Elephas maximus indicus: one gene and its partner. The protein of the gene in region 2 interacts with the protein of the main gene of each other region in a pairwise test. Links are inferred from orthologs where the notes say so. Each region holds a gene or a part of one and is shown on either strand. Other genes may lie near its edges.

Region 1 (3,747 bases), on a different chromosome or scaffold from region 2:
CTCTGTTGACATCAGCCCCACACTTCAGTAAGAGTGACACCAGGTCAGGATTCTGCAGGTCCACTGCAAGGTGGAGGGCGGTCCGGCCGTTACAGGGCTCCTGAAACCAAAAGGAATTCAAGATGCTTATGGCTGAGTTTGGATTTCTGCTTGCAACAAGTCTTATTCAGGGTGCTGGTGGCTGGTTCACTCCACCTGGAGGCATGAAGCACTCACCTGAGCATTGACGTCAGCACCCAGGGACACCAAATGCTCCACAATGGCCAGATAGCCATGGATAGAGGCCAAGTGCAGACATGTGTGACCTAGAAGAACAAACAGAAAAAATATGACCACTTGTTTCAATCCTTACACCTCAAGTAGAGTCTTTCACCTATTCTTTTAAGGGACAAACAGGCATGTCTTCTGAATCTGGGTTCTGAATGAACCTTATTTATAAACGCATCATATAGGCAATTTTTCATACATATTTTCTCAGCCTTTCCCATGTTGGAAGTTGAAGCTCTTGCCTGGGCTCCTTAAGTGGGTGAACTGTTGTTGTCTGCCCACCTCCCCCGCTCCACGTCACCTGCCCTCTGGTGGGGCGGGGTGGCCCACTCACCATTGTAGTTGGTGGCCTGCAGGATGGAGTGGAGGTGCTGGGTTGGACGGGTCTGTGTCAGAACTCCTACACTGGCCAGGCAGCCCTGCTCACAGGCAAGGTGTAGGGGGGTATTTCCTCGAAAGTCTCGGAGCTCAGGATCACAGCCAGCTCCCAGAAGAACCTGAGCAATTTCTGGCTGGTTGGTGATCACAGCCAAGTGAAGTGGAGTCTACAAGCAGAAGAAAGAACAGAAAGAGGATAAGCCATGAACCAAACGTGCAATCTGGGCTCCCTTGGACCCCAGACATCTCCTGGTTTGGGCACTGCTCCAGGGGGTGAGGAAAGACCAGAGGCCCTAGGTGGGCCATAAAAGCCTCACCAAATCAATGGGGTTTTCTTTACCCTGTTGGATGCTCATTGGTTTAACTGTAAAAGGCTAGGGCAGATAATGACTGATGACTTAATTTAGAAAGGATTTGGGGGCAACTGTGCCAGAGCCACTTTGTTAATCCAGCTCCACCACAGGGTCAGAAAGGGCACAGGGCTGGCAAGCCGCGCACCTGCTGCAGGTTGTTCTGGAAGTTGAGGAAGGCTAGGTCTCCCTTCACTTGGCGGATCACTTCCATCGTCAGTGCCTTCTCTTCATGGATGATGGCCAAGTGCAGGAACCTGAGGGGAAGAGAGGGAAAAACCCCCAGGGGTGGTGAGTGCACTGCGTGGGGCCCAGGGAGGCGCGGGCTGCGGGGGATTGCGCAAGGCCGGGGTTTCTGTAGGCCGAGGCCGCGGTGTTTTCCGCGAGGTTATTATGAGCTGAGTGTTCCTGGCAGGCGCCCAGGGACTTTCCGGGCCCCCCCTCCCTACTCGGCGGGCGCCGGCCAGACCGCCCCGCCCTCCCGCCAGGCCGGAACGCCCTGTACTTCCCCTCCCGGCCGCGCGGCGCCCGCCAGCGGGACAGAAACTCCCGCCCCCCCTTATGCAACTGGGGACTTCGCCTCCTCACCGCCGCCCCGCCCCCGGCCGGGAGGACCCAGACCCGGCTAGGGGTGTGTGTGGAACTGCCGCTGTAGAGCAGAGCTGCTGAACCGCGGCCCCCAGGGTCTGAGCCCGAATCCCCCGTACCCTGCACGCGCAGACGTGCAGCCTTGCAAGGTTTCAGGGACTGTGCATAATCCCGGGCTCACGGCCGTGCGCTGGCCCTGCTGCACCGCGGGCGCTGGCGGCTCAGGCTGCAGGCCCGGCGCCCCCCCCCGCCCCGCGGCCCCGCGCGTCCAGCGTCCCCCCACCCACCCCGCCGCCTAGCCCCTCGACACTTACGAGTCTCCGTCCTCCGTAAGCTGCTGCTTCCAGGGCTCGGCTCCGCGCGGCGCCTCCTGCGGCTCCAGGCGGATCTCGCGCAGTTCCTTCACCATCTGCTCGTACTCCTCGTCCTTCATGGAGTCCAGGCCGCTGTCGTGGCGGTCGTCCAGCAGCCGCTCCTTCTTGAGCCCGTCCCGAGGGCCGTCCATGGCCCACTCCTGGGGGTGCTCGGCAGGCTGAAACATGGCGCGGTGAAAGCTTCAGACGTTGCTCCCCAGGTGCGCTCGGCCGCGGGCTGCGCGCTTCCTTGTAGTGTCGCTCGCGGGCAGGTCGGCGGGTTAGGACTGTTGTGGGCTCGGCAGCGCCGCCGCGGCGCCCTATAAACGCTGGCCCGGGATTTCTCCGGGGCGGGGTCAAGAGCGGGGAATTTCCAAGCTAGTCAGACCAGAAATGAGAACTGGCCTCGTCCTCTGCTAGGGGGAAAAAGAAGCCTAAACCCTGTGCCGGGGTTCAACAGAGAAACTCCCTGCGATGAGCCACTAGGGTCATGTACAGGGAACTTTTTGATGAGCGCTGAGTGGCTGGAAAGTCCTCCCGACCAAGCCCCCTCCCCCAGGTACTTCCCTGCAGCCAGCACTCAGTAATCCCGGCCCTCTGCAAAAAAAACCTTCTTTCCTTGGGGTTTCCCTCGATCAGCTTGATTTGGGGTCGTCTGAGATCCCAAGGACGCAGACCAGCTGGACGGTTCCTCGTTGGGGTTTGCCAGTCTGCCGGTCCTTTCCGTTTTTTGATCTTTTGAAAACGCAAGAGTGGAAATGATGGCTGGGTATAGGGATTCATTTCCCCAAACTTCTCTCTGCAGGGAAGGTTCTCTTGTCGCTGGCCCCTCTGGGATTCTGCCAATAGTAGGCTCTTTGCAATGCAGGGACATTTAGCTTTCCCAGGTAGAAGTTGTGAAAACTTTGGTGTTAAAAGCCTAAATGCGTGGAGAACCCTCAGATCGTTTCCTCGGGATTAACAGTCTTGTTGACTGGGAAAGTGCTTGCCCCAATAAGTGGGAAAGTGTTAAATATGATCAGAATTATTTCAGGTAGAGCAAGGCGTTAATCTTCATAGCTATCTTGCAATAACGAAGTAACTATTGAGGTCTCTCTCTCTGATTTGCATTGTGTTGCTGCAGAAAATGGACCCGAAAACCTGCTTCTGGGTGCCAGCTGGGTGATTTTCCAGGAGCATTTGGAGAAGGATGCTGAAGAATGGGTTCAACGGTGTCTTACCCAAGATTAGGCCTTAAGGATGGCTAAGAAAGTAACGGTTATGCATCCTGCAGAAGGCCCTAAGACAGCCCTAACACTGCCCCATCCTGCCCCTGCTGGCTCGTACTTGCTGCCCTTGCGCTGAGGGAGGGCAGTGGTTGTACCCATCCACCTTAGTCACTCTAGAGATAAAGGGGTTTGTGCTCAGCATTCATCGATTTCATCTGCAGAAATAGAATTTATGCTTGCTGCCCCCACCCTCACCTCCTAATCAGCAAGCTATGAATTGAATTCATCTACTGCTTTAATTGGATGGAAACCCTGGTGGCGTAATGGTTAAGTGCTATGGCTGCTGACCAAAAGGTCGGCAGTTCGAATCCAACAGGTGATCCTTAGAGTCTCTGTGGGGCAGTTCTACTCTGTCCTATAGGGTTAGAATCCACTTGACGGCAGTGGGTTAATGGGTACTGCTAGAATTGACCCATGCAAAATAAAGCAACTTAGATCAGAGTTCTTCAGATTTAGCGCCAGGAGGCCTCTAGTTTTGCAGAGTTTTCTGGTGATTATTTCAATTATCTTTACCTTCACTGGCTGTGTACTGACCAACCATTC
Region 2 (3,747 bases):
AAAAAAACTAATGGATCTGAATTATAAATCTCTCAATGAACATTTTAAATTCTGACTGTGCTAAGTTTATAGTGTACAGAGCAACATGGTGTTTAAGAGGTAATTCCTGACTCCAGGAATTTACAATCTAATAATTACCTGGTTTTACTACCAATGTGGCTCAAATTAAACAAATAAGTGCCAAAGGTACACTTCACTTTGCTTTGTAGATTTACTGTCTAAAAACATAAGAATCTATCCTACAGGAATGCTTGGGATGAAATAGTCTTAAACTTCCTGGAAGAAGTAAACCTCAGTCACACAGAACATTTTAGGGGGCGGTCACAGATAGCTCTTTCTCTTAATAGTGGGTCAGATCGAGAGTTCTGGAGCCAGGTCACCTGAGTTCGAATCCTACCAGTTTTTAGCTGTGTGACACTGGGTACATCACTCAGTGTCTCTGTGCCACAATTTTCACATTTGAAAATGAGTATGATAATAATGCCCACCTCATAGAGCCATTGGGACAATAACTGTATTGTCAAAGTAAACCTCTATTAATGTTATTCATCACTCCTCTCCCTATCGACAGAGGGGTTGGGTTTTTTTTTTTTCTCTCTCTCTTCCTGTGTGCCATCTCCTCCACTTAAAATGACAAAATTCTCTTCTGAAACAAAGTTTTCCATTACCATCTAGAGAGCAAACAGGCTTTATGAGAAAGGAAAAGTAGATTCCTCCAACTAATGGTTCATTTTAGAGTCAGCACAAGGTGAGAAGGCTGGACTCTCTCCCTTTCTTGCTGGCAAAAGAGTCCACGAGCTAATGAATGCTAAAAATTGTGTATTTGCACTGTTAATATTATTTTTTTAAACACTGGTAAAACTTGGTAAAGAGAGCAGGTTTTCTCCATGAAAGCCAGTAGCAGTTTTACATTACAAGCTGCCATGATGTTTTCTTTCCATAAGAATAAAGCTAACCAGGATGAGGTCACTGAATAAAAGTGACTTTAGGCTTCGTGCCTGCTGCTGTCACTTTCTAGACTGCAGCCTTTGAGGTTACTTTCAGCCATTCATACTTCCCAATAATAAATGTATGAACATAATTTCTCTGTTTTCTGCTTGCCAGTTTATATGAAATGAAGGCAGTCAGCAAGAGGGAGAGAAGGAGCAAAAATATCGCCCCAGGCCAAGCAATAACTGGTCTATAGGGTCACTATGAGTCGGAATTGACTCTATGGCACTGGGTTTAGTTTTTTTTTTTTCTGAGTAAGGAACTATGGAATAGGGGGTGAACCACGTCCAGAAGCAGAACTTTCTTGCCAGGTAGAAGGGTTTGTTTCTGGTTGCATTGTAAAGTCAAATCTTGAGGACTTCAGGATTACCCATCTTCTGATCTTCCCTTTGGGAAAGCTGACAACTGGTATCTGTTTCTTCACAGAGTTGTAACCTTTCCAAAGAGAACCACAACTCATGCACTACAATAAAGGCTTTGGACGTTGAGATTTACAGCTTTTGAACAAAAGATTTATCACTGAGTTAACCAGTGGCTATTAGCCAGAACCAAGTATTTACAAGCTGACATTAAGAAAGGATGGGCCCTTAGCTAGGTAATTCAGAAGGAAAGCCAAGTACCTGTAGCTCCCAGCTAGCACAACCTCAGAGGCCAGACAGGTAATGCCAATTGTCAATCCAAAAGCATAGATATCATGCCAAAATCTATTTTCATAACAGCACTTTTGTTTAAAAGTGATAGTACTTATGTCTATCCTAGAAATATTCATCAACCCAAGGAAAAATCACACCCAACTCATTGCTATCTACATCGGTACAGAGTAATTCTATCCCTGGAAACCACTTGTCTCAGTTAGATGGGGCTACTTAAAACAAAATGGATATGCTGAGCAAGTTGTAATTCTATTGCCAAGAATAAACACAAAAATAACAGTGCAAAACCCATGGGAAAATAATGCTACCGAAGTATTATCACATTCTATGAGCTCCAGTCACAGTAAAAGTGCCCATACCCGCCAGTCCATTCAAATGCCAATAAAAGAGTTTTCAAGAAGTGGCTAATATTCATTTGTTCCGGCATTCAACTTCACCTAAGAATGTCAAAATTCTCCATCATCAGCTACATAACCGTACCTGGGGCTTTTAATTTCAGCCACTCCAAGGATATATGGCAAACTGCTTCCCAGACGAAGCGCAATACGCTAAAGTAAAGCCTGAAAAGCTGTACCGACCCAGCAGTGGGATTCCTCCCTCATTCCTGCTCCCCAGGACAGGGGGAGCCCGGCCCGGGAAAGCAGGCGAGATCTGAGCCAATACCTCCTGCGCTTCCAGCTAGAGACCCTCTGAACACACCGCGGTAGATGGGTTCTCAGTGTTACTAACTCCTCACCAGGTCCTTTCCCTGGCAACTTTCAGAGAAGATGGGTCCTGGGTCTCAGAGATTAGGTGTCTGCCTGCTTGCATGTCAACCAAAGTGACTTAGACCCATCTCAACTCTCCCGGGTACAGAAAGGCTCCCTTCGGGGACGTGCCGCAGCGGAAGACAGGCAGGCAGACAGACACAGACAGACACCCACACTCGCAGGCACAGCCTAAGGCTTAATAGGAAATATCTCTTACCTTATATTTCATTTCGGCAGCGGTGAATGGAACCGTTTTCCTAAACTAGTACGACAGCATTAAGGACTGGAGTGTCTGTCCCTCCATTGAGTGTTAAATGAAAAGGAGAACGGTCGCTTGATGGTTTGCCCGCCCAAGCCCGCCGAGCCCTGCGCACAGCTAAGTTTCCAAAGCGTCTGAGCTCACTGTTTTGACCAGAGCAGGCGGATCACGGGCTCATTTGCATGCTGTCCGGCTATTGGCTCGCGCAGCAAGGTAATACTGTGCCCGCCCATGGCTTAGCTTCTGAAAACTCCTGACAAAGAACTTGTAATGTGGTAATTCCTTTTCACGTTTTGAAAAAGATTGGAAAATAAAACAGAAAGGGGAGAACCTTCCCAAACCTAACTATCCCTCCACCCCATCAAAAAAAGAAAAGAGAAAGACTGAAAGCAAAGCCAAGAAAAGGGAATAAATGCTTTTTAAGATTAACCTAAATTTTAAAGAAACTGCTTCACAAAACAGTCTGCCAGTCCCGCTTCCTGTGCCTTGGCAACTCTTTCATAAACCACTTCATTTCAAAGCCAGTCACCTCAAAATCTCTACATGAAACGAACTCTGGGAACAAAAGCTGTTCTGTCTCCAGGCCCCTTTTCACTAACCACCCCTGCTGATCTCTCTCTCTCTCTCTCTTTTTTTTCTTGGTGGCTGTTTGCTTTTTTTGTTCTTTTCACTGTTCAAAGTACTTCCAATGTCAATCTGTAACGAGTGGGAATACAATCTTCCCTCAGTGAAAAGCAGCTCACCAGCTTCCCTGGCTTGTTCTCACGAAGGCCTCCCCGAGTCCAGCGTCACACACGTTTGGTGACCTTCACTGGCTTGGCTTAGGATAAAGGTTCCATGTGACCTCTCCAATGGGGTTGGCCGGTGGACGCACTATACATCATCGGTGCCCACTGCAAGCTGCTTTCTTTGATGGCTTGGTTTTTCTAGCTCCAGCTTTGAACACGGCTGTTTTTCCTGCTGACCTCTCCGCTGAAGATGACCCATTAACCCACCAACACTTATTATCCGGGGAACAAAAAATGCCCACTGTTTGATGAGCCTGGTTAAAAAGACCAAAGCACAGAACCTTCGGTTCAGCTTCATGATTTCTGTA

What was found. The genes of interacting proteins can lie anywhere in the genome.
Region 1: the proteins of NEDD9 (region 2) and NFKBIA interact in binary tests that used the Homo sapiens proteins (3 or more experiments, as listed by UniProt). The two-hybrid records come from large-scale screens. The link is inferred for Elephas maximus indicus from reciprocal best matches to the Homo sapiens genes NEDD9 and NFKBIA.

What each region holds. Positions count from the first base shown.
Region 1 is NC_064828.1:47,727,394-47,731,140, forward strand, and holds the start of NFKBIA (NF-kappa-B inhibitor alpha), read right to left. Parts: upstream 2,250-3,747; 5' UTR 2,125-2,249; coding exon 1,898-2,124; intron 1,253-1,897; coding exon 1,144-1,252; intron 813-1,143; coding exon 602-812; intron 306-601; coding exon 217-305; intron 101-216; coding exon 1-100. UniProt on the Homo sapiens protein: Inhibits the activity of dimeric NF-kappa-B/REL complexes by trapping REL (RELA/p65 and NFKB1/p50) dimers in the cytoplasm by masking their nuclear localization signals.
Region 2 is NC_064819.1:54,872,509-54,876,255, forward strand, and holds the start of NEDD9 (enhancer of filamentation 1), read right to left. Parts: upstream 2,799-3,747; 5' UTR 2,622-2,798; coding exon of another isoform or gene 2,610-2,621; intron 1-2,609. UniProt on the Homo sapiens protein: Scaffolding protein which plays a central coordinating role for tyrosine-kinase-based signaling related to cell adhesion. As a focal adhesion protein, plays a role in embryonic fibroblast migration.